Drosophila melanogaster: one gene and its partner. The protein of the gene in region 2 interacts with the protein of the main gene of each other region in a pairwise test. Each region holds a gene or a part of one and is shown on either strand. Other genes may lie near its edges. The genes, in order: Pgant3 and CG4577.

Region 1 (10,128 bases), on a different chromosome or scaffold from region 2:
ACCGACATCAAGACACCTGAAAATCCACCAAAATGAGCTGCGGCACGAAGGCATTGAAGGTGTCCTCCTTCGTTTTGGACTTTCTGTGCTGTGTGAGTTGTTATCACCAAATCGCCAACTGATAGTATATTGTTATATGCCTCCTCTCTCTATCACTCATAGGTTCTGGCGGCACTGACCATCGCGGCTTGCTCCTATGCCCTGATTGCTTTTAGCCACAGCGTAGCCATCCGGGTGCCCAGCATCCTGGGCATCGTCCTGGGCGGCCTGCTGTTCTTCAGCACGATCTTCGGCTGCATTGCTGCCCTGCGGGAGAGTATTCGCATGACCTGGATCGTGAGTAGCGCTCTATCTAGTACCTAGTGGCCAGGTGACCTCCAATATTAACTCGACCGTCTTGCTTCGCCCAAAAGTATGCCGCAATACTGCTGGCCCTGGTTTTCAGTCAGATCACCGTCATCTTGGCCCAACCCATCAACTATGAGCTGCTGGCCAACGAGACCATTTACGACGCCTGGCAGGGACAACTTTACCACTCGGACAGAATGTCCTACTTTGAGATCAAGGTGAGCTATGTAGGGATCCTTGGAACCTTCTCCATATATAGCAGACATGAGTTCCATTTTCACTTTCTCGGAAAAGGCATTAGGAAAATGGTATCAGTTGGCTTTTTTTTTGAAATTTTATCGAAATCATTTCGCAAGCTTGTTATCTTTGTTTAACCAAGTACTAAACGGCTTTTCTTTTAGTATCACTGCTGCGGACAGACGGGGCCCGCAAACTATCCGGATAGTGGCCTGGTGATTCCGCAAAGCTGCTACTTCAACCAGAACGCCACGGTGACTACGGATCTCTATACGGTTGGGTGTAACCATCAGTTGGCAGCGGCCTTCGTCAAGGGAACTCGCTGGGAGAAGATCACGGATTGGTCCGTTGTGGGTGTGGAGGTAACTGAATCCGATCACTTGCGATCCTTCAACTCATATTCCAAATGCTCCTCAGATACTCACTGTCATCATCGCCGGACTCCTGGCTATAACCTTACAGAATGCCGAGCGCCGCCGTCTTTACCGATAAAAGCTGGCCTTAAGTTTCTACCAAAAGTATTAGAACTGTACGAATGTGAAAGTGTTCCTAATTATATGAGGGAGTAGTTGCCAAAACATGAATACATTAAATTGGTAACGTTAATATATTTCAACCGTATTTAAATTGCTCAATACAAAATTTCAGAATGTATGCAAGCACTTTTATAAAATTAGTCACACTTAAACCGATTCGTGGTACATTTGGAATGTTGTGTCGCTTTCGACGTCTGGGTCTAAGCTGTTTTTATGTGCAATACTATGTATAAGAAAAGTATGATTATATATTTAACAAGTCTATGAAGCTTATTAAGAAAATAAACAATTTAATGCTTAGTATATTTCAAGTTGCAGTTAGGTTAAATTTGCTTAACAGACTTAAATTTGCATAAGATTTAAAATCGATATCAATGCGCGCCGATACATTTCTTTTTCACCACAGCTATCGAGCCAGTGAAAACAGCTGCTTGCTCACAAGTGCTGCTACGGTGCTGCTAAAATATTTTAAAATTAAACACACGACTCACATCTCATTTCATTTGTACACAAAGAAAAATATCGCAGAACAAGTCTATGTTAAGCGTTTAAATAATGTGCATATAATTAAAACATGTTTTACCTACCATACCGAAGCACCTTATTGAGGCGAACAAACTCTTGATCCATCTGGAAAATAGCCAGACTTACAGCGCTTCTGGTTTCGAACTACTGGTTCCGTGAACTGTTGTCAAAAGTAATGAAATGCTGGAGAAAGCAGTAGAATGATAAGTTTAGGCCGTATTTGCACAATTACTGAGTAACTAGTGACAGCCGAACAAGCGCCATGTATTCATAAGCACCTGCCGCGCACCTGCCAATTCGAATTTAAAGCGGCCCCGGAGCAGAAGCGACGCATTTCTTCGCCGAGCGTCCGCAGAGTCGTCGGATCGGATCGGATCGGTTTGGATTGGATTGGTGACTAAAACAGTTGGACAACAACAGCGGCTTGATTAGTTGGCAGTAAACAGAGCTACCGAACGCACCGGTCATTCACTCCGCACCGTTTTGACCAGAAGCAGTTCCAGTATTGGTAGCCAATAAGCCACAGCAATGGGTCTCCGGTTCCAGCAGCTGAAGAAGCTCTGGCTGCTCTACCTTTTCCTGCTCTTCTTCGCGTTCTTCATGTTCGCCATCAGCATCAACCTGTACGTGGCCAGCATCCAGGGCGGGGACGCGGAGATGCGGTGAGTAGTTGGCCCGGTAATTAACAATGGGCCCATTAGGACGCGCCGCTCGGATTGCACAACTTCCCCTGGGGCCCAAATGGGTTGCAAAATGCAAGTGTTCCAGTCGAGTGCCTCGCCTCCGCGTTTTTTAGCTTCGATTGCCGAGGCACTTTGCATTCGATTTGGGTCTTGGGTCTCTGTTTGTTTTGACATCGCTTCGCGTGATTCGATGGGCCATTGTAAATGCTAAGTCTTAATATCGCTCCATTGTCACATCTTGGCTCATTTGGCTATTGTGGATCACTATGCCGATTTCCCGCACAGTCATCCGAAACCGCCGCCCAAGCGCCGCTCCCTCTGGCCGCACAAAAACATCGTGGCCCACTACATCGGCAAGGGAGACATCTTTGGCAACATGACAGCAGGTGAGTGAGATGGTTCCACCTAATCATCATCAGTTAAGATTGGTCATTGGGGTAATAAAACAGTTTATTTGTCTTTTATCATTCCCAGTTACCCTTAGTCATCAATAATAGACAGTGCCATTAAATGGCATTTCATTTTACCCTCTGCACAATTGGTTTAGGTGCTCGGGAAATATTTAAGACTTCTTTAATTACCTTAGTATCATTTTACTTTCGACGCATTAGGGAAGAACTGACGAACTTTGTTTTGAAACTACAACCTTAGTTGCACCATCGTTGATGGAAAATACCTAAAGAGAGTTTCCCTCAAATGACACAACATCAAAATGCATTAATCCCCACTCGCTTGCAGATGATTACAACATCAACCTGTTCCAGCCCATCAACGGAGAAGGTGCCGATGGGCGACCAGTTGTGGTGCCGCCTCGCGATCGCTTTCGCATGCAGCGCTTTTTCCGGCTAAACAGCTTCAACCTGCTGGCCAGCGACCGCATCCCACTGAACCGCACCCTCAAGGACTACCGCACACCTGAGCAAGTATAAGCCTTAGCTTACTGAGAACCTTTTCTAATGCATTTCTTCTCCTGCGCAGATGCCGCGACAAGAAGTACGCCAGCGGTCTACCCAGCACGTCGGTTATAATTGTTTTCCACAACGAGGCCTGGTCCGTGCTCCTGCGAACCATCACCAGCGTCATCAACCGGTCGCCGCGCCACCTGCTTAAGGAAATTATCCTGGTGGACGATGCCAGCGATCGCTGTAAGTCTGCATAGTATAATCAACGTATATTCCGAGAATTCCATCTGTGTGCAATAGTATTGTCGACCTTGGGCGAAGCTTCTTAATTTTGTATTACCTAAAGGACATTTGGTTCTATTGCCTGCGTACTATTCCCGCGAATGGTTTCAGTCTACTCCACCAAACGAAACTCCTAAGAATGCAATATATTTAATTTGTAAAACATAGTTTTGGGATGATTCACAATATTTGTTTCTTATCTTGAAAACGGTCAGTGTATAAGTTTACGTTGATTCATTAAAAGTAAATTCTTTGTCTAACATGCTAGAAAGTTAAAACTACGAAGTAATAAAAGAATCGTAACTCTTGGAATTTACATATAAATGACATACATTATGCGTATCTGTATATAAAACTTTCCTAATCAAATGTTCTTCCAAAGCATATTTAAAACGTCAACTGGAGAGCTATGTGAAAGTGCTGGCGGTACCCACGAGGATCTTTCGCATGAAGAAGCGAAGTGGCTTAGTGCCTGCCCGCCTTTTGGGAGCCGAAAATGCTCGCGGCGATGTGCTGACCTTCCTCGACGCCCACTGCGAGTGCTCGCGGGGATGGCTGGAACCACTTCTTTCCCGCATTAAGGAATCACGCAAGGTGGTAATCTGCCCGGTAATCGACATAATATCCGATGACAACTTTAGCTACACAAAAACCTTCGAGAACCACTGGGGCGCTTTCAACTGGCAGCTGAGCTTCCGTTGGTTCTCCTCGGATCGTAAGCGGCAGACAGCGGGCAACAGCTCCAAGGATAGCACTGACCCGATTGCCACTCCCGGAATGGCCGGCGGATTGTTTGCTATCGATCGCAAGTACTTTTACGAAATGGGATCCTACGACAGCAACATGCGCGTTTGGGGCGGCGAGAATGTGGAAATGTCCTTCCGCATTTGGCAGTGCGGCGGTCGTGTGGAGATCAGTCCCTGCTCGCACGTGGGTCACGTGTTCCGCAGCAGCACGCCCTACACCTTCCCCGGCGGCATGAGCGAGGTTCTCACGGATAATTTGGCCAGGGCCGCCACCGTCTGGATGGACGATTGGCAGTACTTTATAATGCTGTACACCTCTGGACTGACGCTGGGAGCCAAGGACAAGGTGAATGTTACGGAGCGTGTGGCGCTCAGGGAGAGGCTCCAGTGCAAACCGTTCTCCTGGTATCTGGAGAACATATGGCCAGAGCACTTCTTTCCAGCTCCCGACCGCTTTTTCGGCAAGATCATATGGCTGGACGGGGAGACAGAATGTGCCCAGGCCTACAGCAAGCACATGAAGAACCTACCAGGTCGTGCTTTGTCACGAGAGTGGAAGCGAGCGTTCGAGGAAATCGACAGCAAGGCGGAGGAGCTGATGGCGCTGATCGATCTGGAGCGGGACAAGTGCCTTCGCCCCCTCAAAGAGGATGTGCCGCGCTCATCATTGTCTGCAGTAACCGTAGGCGATTGCACATCTCACGCCCAGTCGATGGATATGTTTGTAATAACTCCGAAGGGCCAGATCATGACTAACGACAACGTCTGCCTGACCTATCGACAGCAAAAGCTGGGTGTGATCAAGATGCTAAAGAACCGCAACGCCACCACTTCGAATGTAATGCTGGCGCAGTGCGCTTCCGACTCGAGTCAGTTGTGGACCTACGACATGGATGTAAGTGTATCACAGCTACGATAATTGCATTAGTGCTAAAAATGTATTCCTCCACAGACTCAGCAAATATCTCATAGGGACACAAAGCTCTGCCTTACTCTGAAAGCGGCGACTAACTCGCGTCTCCAAAAGGTCGAGAAGGTTGTGCTCAGTATGGAATGCGACTTCAAAGACATCACACAGAAGTGGGGCTTCATACCACTGCCATGGCGCATGTAGAGAGTAGGATGTCATGCCGGTGCCAGGACATTTAATCCAATAACCCTGCCAGCAACTTTTTAACGCAATGTGATATTTATTGAAATTGTTTTAACGAAATTCACTCGTTAATTTGTTTATGTGAACAGTAACCAACCCACAAGCACACGAACTTCAGACACCTGCAGTCCTGTTGTCTAACAAAGCCTGATTTCACTGTCGCAATTTAATATTTAACTGCGCGTAAACATGAGCAGCAGCAACATATGTGTGACAGTGGAACCAGTCTTTACCAAACAATCGTACACCGATACAGACCCACTTGAATTGTTTTTAAAACACACTAACCGAATGCGTGGGAGAGCTTTTCTCCCCCCACGCATTGCGACTCTATCAATCTAGATAGCATAGTGGTATGCTATATCTACGTCATATTTATTAAGAAGAGTTAGAAAATTTTTAGCTGTACTTACTAACCTCGACCTTAATTTTTATATCACTTGAATAAAGCAATCGAATGTAGAGAAAGCTTCGTTGCAATCTGTTTCTCTTTCCCTGACTTCTTATCGCTGGCCCCTGGGAAAGGTCGCAATGCACTCGCTTTAAATTTGGCGCATCTGCCGCAGATTACACCACTCTCGCGATGAACGGCTGCTATAACACAATAAAGTACACGGGCCTGCTCTCAAATCTGCTCTATATGGTAAGTCGTACTCTTGCAACTTACTCTGGGTAAATTGTTTATAATCGTTGGCGTTGCAGCTACTCGGCATAGGAGTGATGTCTGGAGCAGGACTAGGACTGCAGATGGCGGAGCCCAATACGCCAGAGCACACTTATTTCGTGAAGAGCTTGGTCTTGGGTGGCTCCATTTGCATGATCGTGATGTTCGGATGCTATGGCATGGTCGCCAACTTGCTTTGTGTCAATCTGATTGTAAGCGAAAGGAAAGAGCGAATCCTGAATATGGATTACTATCCATAACTAACTGAACTCTCCCCACAGTTCACCATGTTCATACTGATCGCTCTGGCAGCGGAGTACCTTCAGCTGCACCACTATCACAGTCCGTCCCTCAGGAGCCCGGGTGGCGCCTGGCAGCAACTGGAATTAGCTTGGCATGGCCTGGACAGAGACCCCGAGCTCATGCACCAGTACGAGGCCTCCCAGCACTGCTGCGGCTACAATGGTGCCGACGATTACAAGCGCCTGCATCTGCTGGTGCCGGCGAGTTGTTATCAGGCCGCTGTTAATGACACCGCCCAGCAGATCTATCCAAGCGGCTGCCTCGAGACGTTGAACCGCAGCCAGCGGTACATCCAGCACCGCGATAAGCTCTACATGTGGGCCATCGTTGGCCTTGAGGTGGGAAATTGACTTGCGGCTGAAGTGCAGTTTCTCGAATAATCATCCATCTCTTCACTCGCCGCAGATCTTCATACTGCTGCAAACTGTGGCGCTGAGTGTGCTGCTCTTTCGACTACGACAGCGGCAGCGCATCGCACGAAGACAGGTGCCGCCAGGTGTGCGGCGGGAACCGCGCTCCAACCATGTGTCCGCCTCTCGTGCGCACCTACTGAACGACGCCTGAGCTACCATTAAGATCTTATGAAAACTTTGGTTTATTATTTATCCAAGTGGCAAGTGCTTATCTATAAATGTCATTCGTGGTTAGTAGGTGTAGCGACGAGTCTTGTTGGTCAGCTGGCAGCACAAGGTGATACCCAAGATGATGCCTACGACCTGTAATAAAAGAAACAAAGTGTTGCATTAAACATTTAATGCCTGTCAGTTCTCAATCATTTTGTTCGACAAGTGCTACTAGAGACTTGCAAATTCGAGGTTAATAGCTTTCCATTTTCAAATGTACATATATCATAGCTACATTTTGCTAATAAGTCTTGCAGGTCTGAAAGCTTTGCCCACCTCGTAGCCAATAAGTCCGCAGTGGACCCATTTCTCGTATCGGTAGATCTGCAGATAAGCCCGCTTCACGGCAGCCATGCAGCCCTCCCCATACGGATACAAGGCGTGAATGCCGTCCTTGGTGTGGAAACAGCTGCGAGGCACCTTCATGTTGAGGCTCGTGTAGTCGGAGAATCCCTTGTCGCCACAGCACTCGTACTGGAAAAGGGGAAAGAGGGCATTTAAGGATCGTAGCATGATCGCTCTGGGGAAGGACCCACCTCCTGCTGCAAGTCTTGCATGGCGCCGTGATGGACCAGCTCCTTCATCCAGAGATCCATCACGTACACCTCAGTGGCGTCCAGCTGTTTGGTCTCATTGTAGTGGGACACCTTCCAGATGTGCGAGGCTATCAGAGCCAGAAGCAGAATCAAGTTCTAAAAGCCGAGGCATTGGAAGTGCTCATCAATCGACAAACCATCTGTTCTGGCTACTTACCACCACCATCACCTTGATGGAACCGAATATGGCACCCAGGCAACCGACCAGTCCGGCCAAGATCAGAGCACCTGCCATTCCCAGTTGGACGAACTTCTCTGTGTGCTCCGCAGAGCCCTCGTTGAACTTATCCAGCTCATAGACGCCGGCCAGGGCCGCAAGGACGCCGACGATCTGGATCGGTATTAAAATTATGAATTATGCCTGCGCACATTAAGCGTTTGTTAATGGCCCATGAAATGGGCAAACAAAATCTTCAGAGACAAACTTTCGGCTCGTGGGATACGTCATCGGGTAGCGAGAACAACCAAAATAAAAACAAACCGGGCGCAAAAATAAATTAAATTACTTTGGGCTTTATTTTTAAATGGCACATACACAGTTTCCTTTCTTGTTGCTGTCGCTTCGATTGTGCCGAAAATGCGACTGGCCAACAAAAGTGGGCAGAACGAGAGCCGCCAAGTGACATCTTGTCTGGTGGAAATGGAAATTTTGAATGAGATTTGTTTGCTGCCAAATTGGCCAGCTACTCGGCCCGTCCAGTAAGAAATTACAAGCGGCAATGAAAAATGGACAAGAATGAAAGACACTTTATGATCGTGCTTTGACAGACTGCCAGCGGCGAGTTAATTTTGAATCGTGATTTCCATCAGCAAGTGCTTTTATTACTCATACGCAGTGTGTGACTCAAGAACAGTTGCACTGAAATTATCAAGGAACAGTGACAATGAATAAATGCTTGGCCTGTGGCTTGCGTTTCCCAGTGGCGATCATGGAAAGTTTATGTCGGCTAATGATGCGTAATACTAACGCGTTTTCCCACAAGATATCCTCCTTACCAACGTCAGCGTACTGAAGACAACCGAGGTCCATTGTAGGCACACGCGAACCGTGGGCATTTTTTACTTGCGATGCAGTTTTTTCTGTTTCTTTATTTTTGATCAATCTTATTCAGCGCTCATCCGAGCAGCGACTCCAGGCAGCGGACGCGTTTCCCGGGAAAATTCGCTTTCCACTCTCGACCGTCTGTGCGTGGCGGTGACCGAACCGTTAGTGCCGTCGGACATCGGTCGGGGCCAAAATAAAGCAAGACCCGAAAAAGCGCTAAGAAGCTGCGAACTGTTTACAAATCCGCCGAGTGGCCGTCCGTGTCCGCATCCGTGTCCGTCTCGGTCTCCGTTTCGGCGTTTCGTGTGCCGGTCGTTACTCAGGAGACCGGCGTTCACCAGACCTCAATGGCACCCCGCCCCATCCGCCCGACACTGAGAGAAACACATTATAATTACGCCTATAAAAATTTAAGATTTATTGTATAGATGCCTTATAACTTTGAAATAAGTTTAAATAACTGACCGAAATTTACCCAGTGATTGTACTAGATATTTTTATTTCAATAGAAATGGGTAACTTAACTTAACAACAGGTCAAGAATCTTCTAGCAGATCGGGTGAAATTATCAGTATATATATGTTACTGTCGTATAGCATATCTCCTCGTACTCCCATTAGCTGTGGAAGGGGTATCTCATAGTCGAAAAATCGAATGCCTAGAGCCTATTATAGTTATTTTTCTTTTAAAACGGAATTCTTTTCATATGTAGAAGATATTCTTTGAGTGCACCCAATGTTTTCGTATATTTTTATACGCATCTTTATAGGCAACATACATCTACTTAGCAGGCCCGCCGAAATTCCGCATATAGTGGGCACAAACAACACTTATTGAATATTATGATTTTGGTTTATTTTTTATTCTACGCTTCTGTTGCCTCCAGATCATCTTAAACTGCTATAAAAATCCATAGATATCGGATTATGCGTTGCCAACACCCGATTTCGATGATTCCAAGCGACCTGTTAGAATCTTTCGCGCCGCAATTTATTGCGCACCGTGATGCCCAAGTGGGTTGCGGCTCCCAGGGCGGCGAACTGTGTGGAGAGAACGGAAAATTCGATTAGAGCCCAGCGTCTGAGTGTGGCATCTATTTATGCACCGCCCTTGGCCAGCCAAGCCCTCGGAAATATGTGGCCAAGGCCGGCATGGAATCTACATACCTCCACCAGAAGCAGCAGCCACTTGATGATGAGTCCGATGGCCACGTTGTCCGTGGCATGCGCCTGCACGGCCTGCAGGCAGCCCCCGGAGAAGAGGCTGTACTCGCGCCGCTCCTGATCCTTGTAGCAGCTCAAGGGTATACCCCGTCCCATCAGGATGTAGTCATGGGCGCCCAACTGGCCGCAGCAGGAGTACTGGGAAGGAATGAAATTGGTCGTGATGACCCGCAAATAGCAATATACTAATCCCAAGTATTGGACTTACCTTTTGCTCAAGGAGCGATATGCGCTCCACATTGGTCCTTTGATCAGCCCAGGT
Region 2 (16,975 bases):
TTGTTGTTGTTGTTGCTGCTGCTGCTGCTGGCGGAGATGTGGTTGTTGTTGCTGCCCGTTTTCATCTCCATAAGGGTAAGAGAAACGCAATTAGAGGATTCCTTGGCTAAGCAGATACGTGCTGGCATGCAAACAGCAAAAAGTACACACGTGGCTTAAAGCGCAGCTTGTGTTGATTGGCCAAGTGTTTGGATAAAGGGGGGTGGGGGGGTGGTTGATAACACAGTCAAGGGGGAGGGGAGCAGGCACACAGCTGTTGCACGCTTACCCCTCCCCGCACTTCTTACAACACTTCTTTGCACAAGTGCAACATGCAAATCAATAGATGCAAGCTAAATTTTATTTGGGTGAAGGCTACATGTGTGTGAGTGTGTGTTTGCATGCATGAGTGAGCAATTGCATTCGCTTCGTGTATTTGTTGCTGTTATTGCTTTTGCAAATTTTGTTTGGTCTCCATACATGTGTGTTTGCATGGAAATGCCTAAAATCTGTGTTACGTGTGCTGGCCTCTAAGCTCACTCACCTTTATACTAGCAGCACGCTCAGTCGACCAGCTTGAAGTTAAGTATCCAAATTTAGGCCAACGCAACCGAATTTTAAGTTAAATTTGGATAAAATTCAGGCAAAACAAAACTTTGCTTGCAAAATTGCTGGCAACTAGAGGTGGTCAGCTGTCGATTATCGTAGTTGGCAACACTAATCGATAGGACAGAAAGCGTTATGCATTTCAACTTCAATGTTCAAATGAACAAACTAAAATTTTCTATTCTCTTTTGATACCTGTAATATGAAAATAATATAGATAGTTTGCTTAGATCCCGCTGAATAACCTTATATATATATAACAATATAACTTAAATTTATTTTCTAATTTGTTATCTCAAATTTTAGCATTCTGACAAGTATCAAGTTTGTAATCATTTTTAACGATTTATTACAAATATCTTAATACAATTGTATTGTTAGTTCATATGCACACTGCCATCTCTAACGTGCGCCGTGGCAGACGTAAGCACCTCCCATCGCTATAAACGTAACCATCATAACGTAACCAAAATTCGATCAAAATAAATTTGGAATATCACAAAAATCATTATTCGCACCTGGAACAGAAAGAAAATGCACCAGCCTGGCCTTCTGCAGCTGAATAGATTGCACTAAGGCAGCATTTCGAATCCGAAACGTAGGAACTAGCCCACAGCGAAATCATGGAGGAGAATATGTGGTAAATAATAAACATTGGGTTGGGGCTACGTCAACAACTAAGATTAGTCAGAGAGTCTAGAGATTCAGCTCCAGCACCTCATTTTCTTTGGCATCCATCGCCTTTGGCTTTCTCGAACAGACCACCATTTGTTTCGCTGATTGAGTCAGCAGCTTGGTGCTGGGCCAGCGGGACGCGGAGCACCTGGGGGTGTGGGTGCTCCGCCTTATCAGCAGCTGGTTATTTAGACACGTTGACGTCCCCTTCACCCGTAGCATGAGCAGAACAAGTACCAAGCAACTGATTGTGATGGACATCCCTCTCTTGTATGCAGGATCATTGAGCTGGAGTCGGCACTGCTGGACGACTGCACTGTCAACGACATCTACGGCATATGCCAGGGCAAGGCTCTGCCGGAGGCACTGCGTCCGGACGTGTGGCAAGTGTGCCTGGATGTGCGCCACAAATCGGATCAAATGTCGCTCTTCAACGAGATCTACGACCTGCCCTTCCAAAGCCAACTGCGCGAGGATTGCCAGCGGCACGTCGATCGCATGGGCAACGATGAGGAGGACAAGGTCTCGGTGGTATCCGACCTCGAGTCCATCATCACCTTCTACTGCAAGAACAGAAACCTTCAGTATGAGCCGGACAACGGATGGATTGAATTGCTGCTCCCGCTGTTCGCCCTGAAGCTGAATCGCTCCGACACATTCAACCTGTTCGAGTCCATACGAGACACGTACATACCCAAGGGTTGCCGGCCCAAGGGCAATGTCTTTCATGTCTTCCGACTGCTCCTGCTTTACCACGATCCGGAGCTGTGCACGCTGCTGGACACCAAGAAGATCACGCCCGACTTGTACTCGCTGACCTGGTTCCAGTCGCTTTTCGCCTCCTGCAGCAGCCTGTCAGTGATCATTGCCATGTGGGACCTGTACTTTCAGAACGCCGATCCCTTCATGGTCTTCTTCCTGGCGCTAATAATCTTGATCAACGGCAGGGAGCAGATCCTGCAGATGAGGAGCTCGTCCAAGGAGGAGATCATCAAGTTCCTGAGCCTTATGCCGTGCGCCCTGGAGTTCGACGACGTCCCCGACTTTTGCTCCCTGGCCCAGTACTACGCGCTCAAGACACCAACTTCCTTCAAGACGGACTATCTGAAGGCGCTGTACGGCAAGCAGAATGATACACCGCGCAGCCAGGAGGAGGCAAACAAGGTATCACAGGCCCTGTGCCTGCCCGTCTCCGTTTACGAGCTGGTAGAGAACTCGGCCACAGAGTTTCCTGTGCCGGATGCAGTGCGTTTCTTTCTCGTTGACTGCCGCCCGGCCGAGCAATACAACGCCGGCCACCTGTCCACGGCATTCCATCTGGACTGCAACCTCATGCTCCAGGAACCTGTCGCCTTTGCCACCGCCGTCCAGGGCCTCCTGACCGCCCAGCGGCAGGCCATCGAGGCCAACTCGAACGCCGGCGGCGAGCATCTGTGCTTCATGGGCAGCGGTCGCGTCGAAGAGGACCAGTACACACACATGGTGGTGGCCTCGTTCCTGCAGAAGAACACCCACTACGTGTCGCTGCTGACCGGTGGCTACGCCTCCATCCACGACTACTTCGGCGATCAAATGGCCGATTGCCTGGAGGATCACAATGCGCGCAAGTGCCTCGTCTGCCAGCAGCACAACGCGCAGCAGGTAAGACTTCGATAACTCAGGAAATGTACAATACTTTGAATCGAATTAGTATACTTATAATTTCTCAATTCCGCTCCTGCAGACTAAATCAGCGCCGCTTAAGACTTCGACGCCATCCTCTACAGACCTATTCAGCAAGTTCTCCGCCGCCATGAAGTCAAAGTCTGCCGAGGTCAAGGGCAAACTACTAGACATTATCGTGAATCCCAGTGCAAATGGCGGAGCCACGGCTAGCGGCACCAATGGTGTGCCATCGGCGCCGGTGCAAGAGCGCCATGTTAGTGCAAAGGAGCGGAACGGCAAGCGCTACCGCAATGTGGCACCTGTGTTCAGCATCGACGATGAGAACGAGGATGCCTTGGACGGGGCGGGGGAGCGGGATGACGCACCGCTGACCAGCGACGGCAAGGAGATCGTGAATCTGAACCAGTACTTCAAGACGGCGGACATCATCAACGCCTTCAAGTGCCAGGAGGTGCACATGAGCGGCTACATGTACGACAGTCATTTGATCATCACGCCCGGGCAACTGGTGGTGCTGCGGGAACTGGGACGCGGCCAGGCGCAGATAATGGTGCGTCGCCCGCTGGCGAGCATCGTGAAGATCACGGCCAAGAAGCGACACCGCGACCTCATCACGTTCAAGTACGGATTCCCCGATGGCGATGGTCTGCTCATAACCGACATGGACCGCTTCCTCATACCAAATGCGGCCGAAGTTACGGCACTGATTTCAAGGCTCATCGTGCAGGTGCTTGACGACGCCAAGTAGGATAAACCGGACAACCGCCGCATGCTCTTCTTGTTTCCGCCTTTCCGCATCAAGCTTTATTTCATGAACGGCCACTGATACAAAAATCAGAGACACAAAGTGCAATGCGCCGCTGCGAGCGGTGTAATAGTTTGTAATTGGCATTGTTTTCCTTGTATTAGCTGAAATAGTATAGTTCTTATTGTAAACGAAGCGCTGGCTGCAATTGTAACATAGTGCACTCGGTGCAGAGACCGGATTTGAAGAAAATAGTCGAACGTAGTCCCAGATCACATGGCCATCCCGAGCATGCCACGCCCCCGATCCCAATTTTCTAAATTTCTAAGTGCGAATAAGGAACCCTTACCGAAGCCCTGAGACTTACAACGTGTACATGATGAGAGTAACTAATATTTATTGCAATCAAACCAAACAAATAAAACTGTATTATAATCGACACAAAAAATTGTTAAAAAATCATAGCTCTCTTTGAAATTTCATCGGAACTTAACAGATGCACCACGCAGCCGCATCTTCTTTTTTTTTTAGATTTCATGTTTTTCCAGCAGCGGAAGATTGCAGGTTGTGGTGCGATTCTGTGGATCCTGGAGACCATTGACTTCGTTGACAAGATTTTGAGCCTGCGCAAGTTGTTTGCTCCGATGGGTGCGATATAACCAGGTCGCCGAAACAAGTAAGGCGACCAGCAATATGGCTGCGCACACAGCTACTACTACTACGACTACCATTGGGTAATCTCGGACTGCTTCCAGCTTTTTCTGATTCAGCTCCAGTTTGCCCACGATCGCCAGGAGTTGATTAAATGATTCCAAGGTCACGGATTCCTGGGAAGATTTTGGTTCCTTCTGCAGCGTTGCGTAACCTGCTTTCGAAGGAACTCTTTCCCGGACTTCTCCACGGAGGGCGACAGCTGGACTGCGCACGGCACAGTCGCTTTGAATGCTCAGGATTCCACTGCCATTCAATTGGAGCTCCTGCCTCTCACCGGAGCACACTCCTATTAAAGTTAGCTCATTGGTAAGGGCCACCATCCAGGAGTTTGGTGCCACCATCTCTGTCCACAGACTCTTCTCCTTCACTTGACGCAAGGTGCAGACTTCGGAAGACTGGTTCCGTATGGCCGCCAGGGAGCAGGCAAAACTGTCATCCCCAGTCCCGTAGATAATGCGGTTGCGCCTGCAGATGAACCTTTCTTCGCCCAACTTGATGCAGTCGTCCAAGCTCTGAAGCGGAAAATACCTGTCCATATGATCGTTGATGCCCAGATAAGGTGTTTCGGTGTCCACCAGTTGGATTACGCCATTGTTTAACCGTGGAATGGGCGTCAATCGGTAGATATTAAACTTCTCCGCATCGAGCAAGGGCACTGTGATTTGGAACTCCACGTGGTTGCCCCGCTGCCGAGGAACTACGGAGGCGAGAAGGTAAATATTCCGGATTGTATATCGGCCATCCAGATCTCCCAGAATTGGCGGCATCTTCGCTTGCAGCTGTTTCATTGAAAGGACAAGAGGACTAAGCTTTCCGTGGTGGGCAGAGATTATGGCTTCAGTTATGGCATTCTGGGCACTTTTTAGTCTGCTGCCCATAAGGTATAGATACGGCTTCATCATAATCAGGTTTTCAGGTTCATAAGCCTCGTGAAAGGGTTCTTGAAGTATCACATTTATAACATTAATGGAGCTGTCAATGCAGGATGTTCCCATCCCAAGCTCGATGGACACGTCGTCATCTCCCAAAGAAAGTCGTCCGGCCCTAAAGTCCAACGCTTTCTCCAAGTCAATTAGTCCATCGTGAAGAATACTATCCGCAAACTTGGTAATGTCCAGAATTTCTGGACAAAGATTCCTTTGGATATCGCACACATCGACCAAAGCCTTGTAGACACCATTGAACGCACGTATTGCCGTATAAAGCGACTCCAAGTTGAAGCTGGCACATAACTTCCAATCTCTGGAGGCTAGCGATGCCTGACCGCTGTACTCCACGAAGGTGCCCAGACTGTTGTTGAATCCCCGCATCGCCATCGGACCTCCGATCGCCTCCCGATCAACTGGGCTTCCATGGGAGAGCGCTATCAGCGAGGGGGCGAGGATGAATACCAAACTAATCGCTTTCATCTTTCGCTTGTAGAGGTGATCGTTGCCCAGAGTTCCGCGCTAAACTGAAGGTGAGCTCCTGAGAATCGGGTAGCAAGCGGTAGTGCATGTCCATATGTATGTTCAATTGCTGATATAGCAAAATGATCGGATCATTGTGCGCAATATAAATTTTTAAATATTTGCAAGTGAGGCAATTAGCCAGAATTAGCTTTCAAATAAATATAATATAAATATATAATATACAAATATAACATAAGCCATCCATATTTATTATACATTTTACACTAGTCAAGTGCATTGAGTACTAATATAGTGAATTTACATAACAACCAGTGTCATAGCGGCATAACCAGCACCACAGAGGCCCACCGATGCGACCTGGCAGTAACGCAGCTCTTTGCAGATCCGGCGCCGGCGCAGTAGAGGATTGGCTCGCTGCCTCGCCAGGCAAGTACGTAAGCAGGCTCCTCCGAGCTCCGCGGTCTTTATCAATGAGAGTGACGTAGGTTGTGTGCAGACCGGACGGGATTCGGTCGGCGAGTGGAGGAGTTGGGTGGCACTTTAATGTGGTCTGCAAGCCAACGGCCAACGGCACGGAATCGGGGCAATACGTTAAAAACTGTTGCACTGCGTCGCTGGGACGTCAGTTCATTCAGAACAGTCGAAGTGCGCAGACCACTGGGATCCAAACACCGGCAGAAACCAGGCCAGGAGTCGAAGTCGACCTCCCACCTCCAGCCAGATCCGAATCCTATTTGGGACACCACCAGCTAGAGCCAAGTCAAGTGCCGTTTGCCGTAAACATGCCACGCATCTCGTTGCCCGGCAGCAGCCTGCTGGTAGTCCTGGCACTGATCCTGTGCCTCAGCCTTCCAATCCGGGCGGTGCCCACCTCCGTGCTCGCCCAAGACACGGAGCTCTCCACCAGCGCCAACCACAAGCTCCAGCAGCAGCAGCAACAGCAGCAGCAGCATCACCAGCAGCAGCAGCTCCAGCAGCAGCAGCAGCAGCAACAGCCGGCCACAGGTAAGTGCCAAAGTTCAGTACAGGTGGAGCAGCAGCTCCGCCCACGCCCACTCTTAAGGCTAAAGGTCACTGGGAAAATGCGAGTTTTTGAAAAATGCCCGGCCCGAGAAGGCTGTGCCTCCAGCCTCCAGCTCGTCGTCTGCGTGGGTTGGCTGGCTGCTGGCTTTTGAGGGTCGGGCATCCGCTCGAGTGGCTCCATCTCGGAGCTCATCTCGTTTAGCATATTCCATTTCCCATTTACCGCTCGTCGTTCGCTGTTTCTGCCAGGAAATTGCGTAGGTGTTTTGCGCGAGGACGACAGCTGTCGTCCTTTTGAATGCCGCGCTCCATGAGCGATTTATAAATTTCCATCCTGCGGTTGTTTTTCTTGCACTGGCTTAGTGAATCATTACTGTGCCTGCACAGCGAGAAAACTACCAATGACTTTTCTGAGTAAGTGGGTAGCTATATGCACTCTTGAAAGAAAACTATCAAATAAAATAAGTTTTAAGTCTTTAAATTAAAGTTTCAACAAAAAAATGATTATATAAATTATATTAAATTATATACATATATATATAATAATCAAATTTCTGCCAAAATATTCACGAAACATATATACATATATCAAGCTGCGGCTTAAAGCACAATGTTGCCTTTTCTTTCAACAACTCTAAAGAAACATATGGTATTCTGTATATACAGCTCCACGATTTCTCCCAGTGCAGTTACACTGTTCATATATGTAGCTCAGCGCTCACCAACACAAGCACACGGGAACCTACAGCGCAGTTAAACATCGCGTAGGCGTTCGCCACACAAAATGGCGGCCAGCCTCCTTTGTGAGTGTGTGTGAGTACGTGTGTGCGTGTATGTGAGTGGGGGGGCCTCCATGCTGTTAAAGTGTGCGTACGTGCGCGCGATTTCATTTCTATTTTTAGAAAGCGAGTTAGGCGAAAGTTTTCAGCCCCTTTTGCGCCCCTTCCGCTCCTCCTGCACTTTCTGCTCGCCTGGCGCCGTTCGCCTAGCATCGCCTTACGCCATCGCCATCGCCATTCACCACATCTTGGGTGGCAAGTGCCACCCATTGCCGCCCCCACTTTCACCGCAGCATTGAGCCCTTAAGTAGGCAGCCAAGCTCAAGCTGTTAAGCCTTTCCGATCCATTCCGAGTATAAATACGCGTCCGTGTGTGCAACACGTTCGTTAGCGCTCCAAACCGCAGCAGCAACTAAGGCCAAAAGTAGCGGGGCTTTGGTCAGATGTCAGTTGCCAAAAGCCAGCGGCAACCACATCAAAATGTAAAGGGCAGGTGCCCAGAAAAGGGGAAGGAAGCATGTGATTGGGGTGGACAAGTTCAAATTTAAATTTTAACATTTCGCTGCATACTTTCAAATCTTTCAATGTTCTAATGTAAGTTTATAGATACAAAATTTGCCTTTGGGTAAGAAACAAATCTCTAGGGATTAGATGTTTTCGAGAGCGATAAGCTCTCCATCGCACATTTTTGTAGCATACTTCCAGGCAGCGCCACTAACAGATTTTTGCCCCAGCACAGTTCGCTCTAAATAGATTTATTATGCCCCAATGTGGGCGGAATGGCGCCCCCGCCCCTTTCTACGTGTTTACAGAGCCACATATGGCAACCTAATGACAAAGGCAAACAGGCTGTCGCCGCCAAGTGTCCAGCTGTCGGTAGTGCAAAGTGAAAACAGGGTCCACCCCACGGATTAATCCACGCAGCAGCAGTCAAGTGGGCGCATTAAATATTTATGAGAGCAGTGCCTGCTGACCCCTCGCCTTTTCCTTCCTTCGCCTGGCGATGAAGTAGTCAGGAGGGAAGGGTGAGCACTCCAGTTGGCACACCCAATCCCGAAACCACAGGCTCCCAGCGCATTTTCCTGCGCTTGACAAATTTTTCCATATGCTGCGGCTATTAAGTTATTTCTGTGCGGGGCCGAAAGAAACGCCCAAGGACTTGGCCGTGGCGTTAATTGTGTTCATGTTCGTGTCCACATTCCCATGTTCATGTCGCGCTGTCTGTGGTGGCCCGACTTTTCGAACAGCTGCTGGCCAAGAGCCACCCACCAGCCCCCAATCTCTGCGCATGTGTGTGTGTGTGTGTGTGTGTGGGGAGCAAACAACTTGTTGATACTTTTGCAGTTCAGTGAACAGCCTGGTAGAGTAGAGACCCAGGACGACGTCAGCCAACGTCAGAGCCTGCCAGCTTTCTACTCATTTATTTATTCAAGTACCCCACCCGAGGAGCACCCATCCGGGCTGATGGACATCCGTGAGCAGGACATTTGCCACACATAAATATAATTGAGGCGGTGGCGTGGGCGTCATGGAGGCGAAACATGAGCATTGTGGGCATTAAATGACTGCCAATACGGGGAAGCGTTTAGCCAGCGGGTTTCAGGAATTGTCGTCTGTCCCAAGGACTCTGGGGAATCGCAAACTGGGTTACGGGCGCTCCATAAAAGCGTATCCACATTCAGAGAATGTGGAATTTTACAGCTCGACTAGAGTTGCACCAGGGGACATACTGTTTCTCGGAAGGAACTTGTGTTTCCACGCAACATGTTAGTCATCACTTTGAAAGTAATCATATCAAAATAGCTTTAAGGTATCAAAATAATTCGTTTTTAGTTACGATAGTGGTGTCTAAAACTAAATAGTCACCTGCAAAGTAAGTTAAGTACACACTTCGAAACATTCATTTCCCATTCGATGCGAACCGCTAGTCATTTTATGGGAGCCCATTTCCTGATAGCCGGATATTATACCACCTGGCCCTTTCAATTGGCACACCCTAATAACACATTAATCATTGGGGTCGTATAAATCATGGCTATGCGGGTATCTACTCCATTCCACTCTATATGCGATATCTCAGTTCCAATAATCATGGAGATAAGCTATAGATACTGGTATAGATATTCGCAGAAACCTGCGAAATACCTCATACAAATCCACTGCGCAGGGGAGTTGAACGAGTTTGGCTGGTCCATCTGAACTCGGGATTGGATGGATGGGGCAGTTGAAATAACCGCATGCCCATGAGGAGGACTCATGTCAGGTGCTAACTGAATCCTAATTGGCGGCGGCCAGCGCTCAATTAAAGATATCAACCGATCCGAGATATTAAAGCCAATTCAGCCGTCCAATTAGCGAACCAACTGTTGCGCAAAGACCCTTTTTTTTCGATTGGATGCCAGTGGGGCGGCAATGCGATTAGGATTAATAAGGTCAGTCCTCCTCCTCTGGGTATTACATCGGGGATTAAGTGGACATAAAGCCGGCTGTCAGGGCGCTAAAAGCAATTAGCCCAGACCGAGAAATATGCTCGGGCGTATAAAACAATTATGGTACTCGTTCTGCGGACGGCGGCTAATTGGTTTTGCGGTCACTTCTCGGCTGTGGGGATGTTGGGAATTTATTGAATCAGCCCCGGGTAAATGGTAAATGGAAAGTGGGAAATGGCAAGTTGGAAATGGAAAATTCGAGTAGCCCGGACAGCAGCAGCCGGCGTTACCCATTCCCCATCTCGTTCACCAGCCAAACGCTCCGAGGAGGCGAGTGCCGTGCCCACGGCGGACAAGAAGTCGAGTCCGGAAATTGTGCCCGCTTCCTTTAGCAACGCTCCGTCGGCCCGAAACAGCCCAGTTCCGGTCTCCAGCCAGCAGCAGGAGCAGCAGCAGGTGCCGTCCGGAGTCTACGCCCTGCCCTCCAACGAGGAGATCCTGGCCGCCGTAGCGGCCGCCGCCCAGAACAGCCAACAGCAGTTGCAGGAGGAGCCCTCCGCCCTGGAGGAGGCGGTGGCCAGCTCCACGATGCGCAAGCGGGGCATCAATTACGAGTACAATCCGTACTCCGTCGCCTCCAGCGACTACGGCAGCGATGTGCCCAGTGGCGTTTGGTCCGACGACTACGAGGCCGCCGTTCCTGTCAGCTATGGCGAGCGGGATCTCCAGGAGATCGATGACTACGTGCCAGAGCGAAGAGGTGCGTCCAAGAGCGTGGCACATCCATTGCTAACTAACAAAAAACTTAAATTCCAGTGAGTAGCTCGAGTGCGCGAAACAAGGCCTACGACAATTTGCAGAATCTCCTGAACGCCGAGGCCTATCTGGAGAGCATTCCCCTCTCGGTGCCGCTGACCTATGCCAATCGGAACTACAACGTGGATGAGCGCAACAAGCGGGGTATCTACTACAACGTGGGCACTCCCGGCGGCAATGGGGCGAGCAGCCTGGGCAGTGGAAGTGGCTACAACGACGAGGGTATCAACCTCAACAAATATCGACGATTCAACGACATGCGGTGAGTTAGTAAAGCAACACGGCGTATGAGTGATATTTTACATACATAACAACTATTACTAAGGGGTAACCTTTTGTATTCTTTGCTCCAATCCCAGACTTAAACGCGACACCCAGCTCAATCCCGCCGACATGCTGGCCCTGGTTGCCCTGGTGGAGGCCGGAGAACGGGCGCGCAAGGAGAGCGATGCTGAGAGCTCCGGACCGGTGCCCATGATACCCTCCGATGACCTGGACTACGCGCCCGCCGGCAGCTGGTTCGACGTGCCCGTACAGGCGGACTACTACGGCGCCGGAGTGCCGCTGGACAACCAGAACCAGGCGATGCCCAAGTACGAGTACGTGCCGCGTCAGCACAAGTACAGCGGAGTCAATAGCCGTAAGTCCCGATTGGGTTGGCAGCAAGAGTCGGAGGTTCGTGTTCTATAACTTTCAATTATCCAGCAGGATTCGGCTCCTCGAAGCAGCGCTACATGGTGGCCAAGAAGAAGCGCTCGGTGAACCAGAGCCAATTCATGAACGAACCGGTGGCGGAGCGCGGATCCGGCTACAATGGCGAGAAGTACTTCTAAGGATCCCACGCGGAGATAGTCTACGTAGTACTTAATGATAGCCACAGGCCCCACGAAGAGTATTTCTCGTTTTTTTGAGCATTGAACATATTGAACATAATCCAAGAAACCAAAATCCAAATTCAATTTCTAATTCAATTATGATAAAGAGCTAGTGTCAAGGTCAACTCGTGTGCAATTTTTGTGTAGAATTTCACTTTCAAAAAACCCAATGGCGAGAATTAAACTATTGTTGCATGCAATGTGGTGCGTCAGGAGCATAATCAATCAGTGTCTAGGATTTTGTCCCACGGAATCCGCACCGAACTAAACCGAATCTATATCTACGCCACCTAATCCCTGTAAGAAATCGGTGTCTATGTACAACTACTGCAATCTGAAATCCAGCGGAACCGCAACTTGTATCTGTATCTACTTATCGAACTAGAGGCTTCCCGACTAGTACAAAACGAGAGAAGAACGTCAACTATGAATATGATTATATATAAAAATATGAATACATCTATACATGCATATATCAATCCTAATCGAGCTCAGAAGCGACAAAAGCTCCACTAACCGCTTTAATTTAATCTAAACTTATACTAACTAAAGCTAAAGCCAAAGCCAAGTATTTTGAATGCCATCACATTCCGAACTACACTTTTTATGTAACCCCGCCGACTTGGGGACAAACGATCTGACAATTGATGAGAATTTTAATCGTATTTAGCGAGTATCGCAGCTAATATGTTGGTAAATTATATATATATATATATAAATATACGTATACAATATGCAAACAATTTGTGGATAAATTTGTTAAGAAATGGCTCAGGGCATAAATATTTTAAATATTCTATGCCGACGACGAAGAGGCGTATTTTTAATTTGAATAAAATTGTCTGACTGTTTTCGGTAATAATCAAATATACATACATATGTGTACTATGAATATGGTAAAATAAATTATATTATACAGACTAAAATAAAATAGCGTATATATATATGTGTGTGTGTATACAATACAGATTATATATAACTATATATATGAACACTCAAGTAACCTTAATATTATATACTTTCCCTCTGAATATTTGGCCTTTGATTTACGCCTTAAGTTCTTTGCGTGAACTTAGTTTGAAGATACATTTATTTACAATCAACTGATTTACGATTAATAAATACGTCTTTGGTTTGAAAACCAATCAAAATTGGATGAACTGGGAGTTTTTTGACCTGAAAACCAATTGGCTGTGCTCAATGGCAGAAAATTCAATGAAAGTGGGTTGTTTTTTCCCACCCATATCGAATCTTAGAAATGTGTCAATTCAAAGCTTACATCAAGTTACAATTAGGGGAATTTGTATATTCAGCTGCGCAGTAACCGCCGCTCAATGAAAAAGTCATAAAAATCATTTTCCACTTCCACGCTCGGTTGCCAGCCGCCAACGAAAGTTTGAAAGGAAAGTTAACTAATTTGAAATTGGGAGACAATTCAATGAAGACCAATTAACAACAGCTAGACTTCTGGGGCCTCTCGAGCGAAGTGTGTGCCAAAAATTAAATAAAAACCAATTGGCCTTCGCACACGCGTTGACATCCATCGCCATTCGGATGGGTTTCATCATCAATGTTCCATGCGAAGCCACATTAAAGTGCTGCATGTCCGGTGAATGAGTGGAAAACTAGATAACCGTGAAGCAGCGCCATTGTGGCCACTGCAAATGGGGAAGCATGCTCTGCTCCGGACGCCAGATGAGATCCAACTTTGTCCAAACTTAGCTCGAAATGGCCATAAACAATTGAATAGAATGGCCGTAAACAGTAAGCCAAATAAACAAAACATTGGGCTCCAGATACACAAATGCGTTTGACACAAGGGGCTCTGTTTTTTTTTTTTATATTATTATTCTAATGACTACGGCATGCACATCATAGCAGTTATCAATGTGCTGCAATCTAACCTGCATTGAATGCAAGTTGCATGGACACTTTATACTAAATTCAGACTAAGTTACAAAGTGTTATGCCTTTTGTATGCCAAATTGTTGCCATATGGCGGGGAATCTAAATAAGCATTAATATGTATGGAGTGTGTGCAGGAGCATTGGAGCCTGAAGATTCTGGCAGGGATTCGAGGTGGCCATTTGCATATCTCATCAGCAAATGACCAGGAAGATAAACAAGCTGGGCAACGAGGCCAGGAGCAGTCTTTAATGAATACGTTTAAAGTTAATTTATTATGAATATGAATATAACTAATGTTAACTGCTCACGGGAATGGCAAGCATTTGTTTTAGAGATTCCCCCACGGGCAGCACGATTTCGCACCTCTCATCATGAGATCAATCTGCTGCAGATGTTTTGAGTTTGGCGTTAATTAGGCAGCCAAATAGGGAATTCACTTCGATTCATTCCAAAAACTACACAGATGCGGCAACATTTTGTAAATATATTTATATATTTGATACATTTGATGGGCCATTGTGTATCGGGATCATCTCCCGAAATTTATACTAATTTCATGCACGCGTTTTGCATGTTTAATAACCGCTTTATATGTCCACCTGTAGACGGAATTATATCGTGTATATCTGACTAAGGCCAGAAGATTATATAATGCATTCAAATGACTTGCAGGTAGAAAGTAACTTCATATTTAAAGTACTTCATTTCAAAGAGCCCCAAAAACCGATCAGGATTGAATTAAAATTCGGATGAGATGGCTCATAAGTTAGCCGTTTGAATGGCTGTTTCTCCTCCATTCGAGAGTCTTTCGAAATTGGCTCAAACACGCAAACATGCCATTGATATGCTGGCCAAGTCAAATTTATGCGTGGGCGCATTCGAAAAAGCCAACTTGCCCAGGACAGCAACCTCAGCGGGGACACGAACCCAAGGTATCTGAGGCATCTACGATGCAATTGAATGCGAGGCACATGAAATTGAACGACGGGTGTGGCGCGTGTTGAACCAGGCATTTGACTTTGTGGTCTGGATGGGGGAATATCATCATCGGGTTTCGGGCTTGTGACAAACCATTTCCGAACCCCCAGAAACGAAGCCACCAAGATAAAGATACGCGCCAAACGACAGGCAGGCCAAATTACTCGGCGTTTCGGCAGCGGAGAACAAGATCCCAAAACTCGGGACCCACCACCACCACAAGTACATACACACGCACACCGACGCGAAACGAGAATTTCGTTTTTTTTTTTTTGGGAACGACGCACAAAATCAAAGAGTATTCCAGCTAGCCGCTTCAGTTGGTGAGCAACTTTCGAGGCAATCGCACGTGGACTTCGATTTCGGATTCGTTTCGTTTCGGTTCGGTTTGGTTTCGTCGCCTGAGAATATATCTCAATCTGTTTAAAGAAGATATTAGCATTCGGCAGCCGCAGTAAGGCCTATATATCCCCGGAAGCCCCAAAGATGACGGACGAAGTGCCCGCCAAAGGCAGCATATTGGGCAGTAAGTTGTGGCTTGGACATTCGAAGCATCTGTTTCGAGATTGCACCACTGGAGTGCATCATGCATCATGCGGCGGTGGTGCAGCAGTGCAACAAGTGGGTGGGCTGAAGGCACTCTGGGGATACAAGATACAAGTTTGACCTCCAAAAGGTCGTTCGTGTGCGTGAGTTCCAGAAATCTTCCTTGTTCCCCCAGTGCGTACGTGTGTGTGTGTGCCACATCCTTTAGGTTTTTATGTTGCTGTGGCTTTTTTTAGACGCCGCCCACGCCACGCGGCATATTTGATTTGTTTTTGGCGTTTATATGCCCGGGTACTAATGTCCGGACAAGGTCAAATGGAAGTCATAGATATAAACAATATTGGCAGGCGAAAATATGACCAATTTGTATGCGTATCCCAAACAAACGCGACATTCTTGAAATTCGTCTACCTATCCCAACAAAAACGGCGAAAGTTTGCCAAGCTTTTGAATCGGGTAAATAATAGTGTTTACTTTAAACAATCCACGCGAAAATCTCACTCGGCGTTTTCAAATAAGTTTCTCAAAGGGGTTACTTTAAAAGTTGATTTTAAAATTTCCAAATTCCACAATACTAAAGTTACAAGAAAGTACATAATTCCACAAAGTTAACTATTAACAAATGACATTTCTTTACTCTGCAATGTTTATATTGCATCATATTTGTGAAATATTGTTTATCGTATTTCATGAATTATTTATTGTTTATTTGAAAATATTATTGTATGACTATCACAGTGATGAACTGAATCATTTCTTTCCCACAAAGATCTCAAAGGAATACATTAAGAATGCTATGAATTATAAACAGGAATATTTCTTATGACCATGTTAAATGAAAGCGTTGTTAGGAGCGATCTTATTTTAGCCCTATATAGATTAACCCAAGCACTTGAGATTTACCACCACCACGCACCACCTAATCAAACAATCAAATTAGTCTGGAAGACTTGGAGAACTTATGCATATAGAACATCTGAAATGTATTGGTGCTCTGCAGCATTTAACTCAGAGCAAATAAAGATTAAGAAAGCGAAGAAAGTACCAACGAAGTAGGGATACTCTTACATAAATCCATTAATAAGGATGGTATATAATGTCCTTCGAAATCAAATCATCTTTTCTGCCACCAAATGATAGCTTAGCTAACCTAGCTAGTTTATGGAATTAGTTAATTATTAGAATATATCAAACGAAAGAGTATATCTTAAGGCATTGAGGCAGTAATTACACAATATCGAAGGCACAATTAGCAGATATAAATAATCGGTTTGCCAGCTCGAAAGTCTTATTGTGACAGCCATGAAAGTGAAATTGAAAACACAGACGACGAATTTATACCCCTCGTTATCGCAAAGCAACGCACTCATAATTGCTGGACATGATTGCCTCCCCCAACCGATTTCAAAAGGGGGTGGACTATATCAATGCGCGTGCGGCGGCTCACTCTACTGACCCTACCCAACTGCCGGTAATCAGTGGCTGCTCCATGTGGAACTCGTTGCTCACCAGGTGATTGGGTTCGGAGCACCCGAGTGGTGTCATGTCCCTATAAATACCTTAATGGTAATGTGTGTAAGGACTATCCCCACTGTCTTTAGATGTTTGCTCTTCCTTCCTTCAATTAAAAAAACAAACGAGAACGTTGTCGTAACGACTATTTGATACCCCTTACTCAGATAGCGATTCAATAACACGGACAAGCAGACGGACAGGGTCAGTTTGTTTCGACTAGTGTTTCCGATCAAGCCCATGTCACACATACACACGTTTCACACGAGTCTAGTATACCCTTCAGCACTTCAAGTAAGGGGTACAATTAATT

The links.
Region 1: the proteins of CG4577 (region 2) and Pgant3 interact in a two-hybrid assay, tested with the Drosophila melanogaster proteins (one large-scale study listed by BioGRID).

Annotation. Positions count from the first base shown.
Region 1 is NT_033778.4:7,053,403-7,063,530, reverse strand, and holds Pgant3 (polypeptide N-Acetylgalactosaminyltransferase 3), read left to right. Parts: upstream 1-1,798; 5' UTR 1,799-2,174; coding exon 2,175-2,308; intron 2,309-2,614; coding exon 2,615-2,715; intron 2,716-3,067; coding exon 3,068-3,248; intron 3,249-3,307; coding exon 3,308-3,474; intron 3,475-3,895; coding exon 3,896-5,154; intron 5,155-5,211; coding exon 5,212-5,373; 3' UTR 5,374-5,877; downstream 5,878-10,128. Other genes in the region: Tsp42Eq (tetraspanin 42Eq), read left to right, coding at 33-92, 163-336, 414-566, 750-947, 1,003-1,077; Tsp42Ep (tetraspanin 42Ep), read left to right, coding at 5,996-6,055, 6,115-6,288, 6,358-6,717, 6,785-6,943; Tsp42Eo (tetraspanin 42Eo), read right to left, coding at 7,024-7,095, 7,279-7,476, 7,539-7,694, 7,756-7,929, 8,595-8,654; Tsp42En (tetraspanin 42En), read right to left, coding at 9,612-9,683, 9,810-10,004, 10,075-10,128. UniProt on the Drosophila melanogaster protein: Catalyzes the initial reaction in O-linked oligosaccharide biosynthesis, the transfer of an N-acetyl-D-galactosamine residue to a serine or threonine residue on the protein receptor.
Region 2 is NT_033779.5:1,128,281-1,145,255, forward strand, and holds CG4577 (uncharacterized protein), read left to right. Parts: upstream 1-6,412; 5' UTR 6,413-6,578; coding exon 6,579-6,801; intron 6,802-10,340; coding exon 10,341-10,787; intron 10,788-10,843; coding exon 10,844-11,105; intron 11,106-11,202; coding exon 11,203-11,483; intron 11,484-11,548; coding exon 11,549-11,676; 3' UTR 11,677-12,876; downstream 12,877-16,975. Other genes in the region: Pino (pinocchio), read right to left, coding at 1-65; TBC1D23 (TBC1 domain family member 23), read left to right, coding at 1,209-1,225, 1,539-2,901, 2,984-3,673; iris, read right to left, coding at 4,198-5,793; MFS3 (major facilitator superfamily transporter 3), read left to right, coding at 15,091-15,130.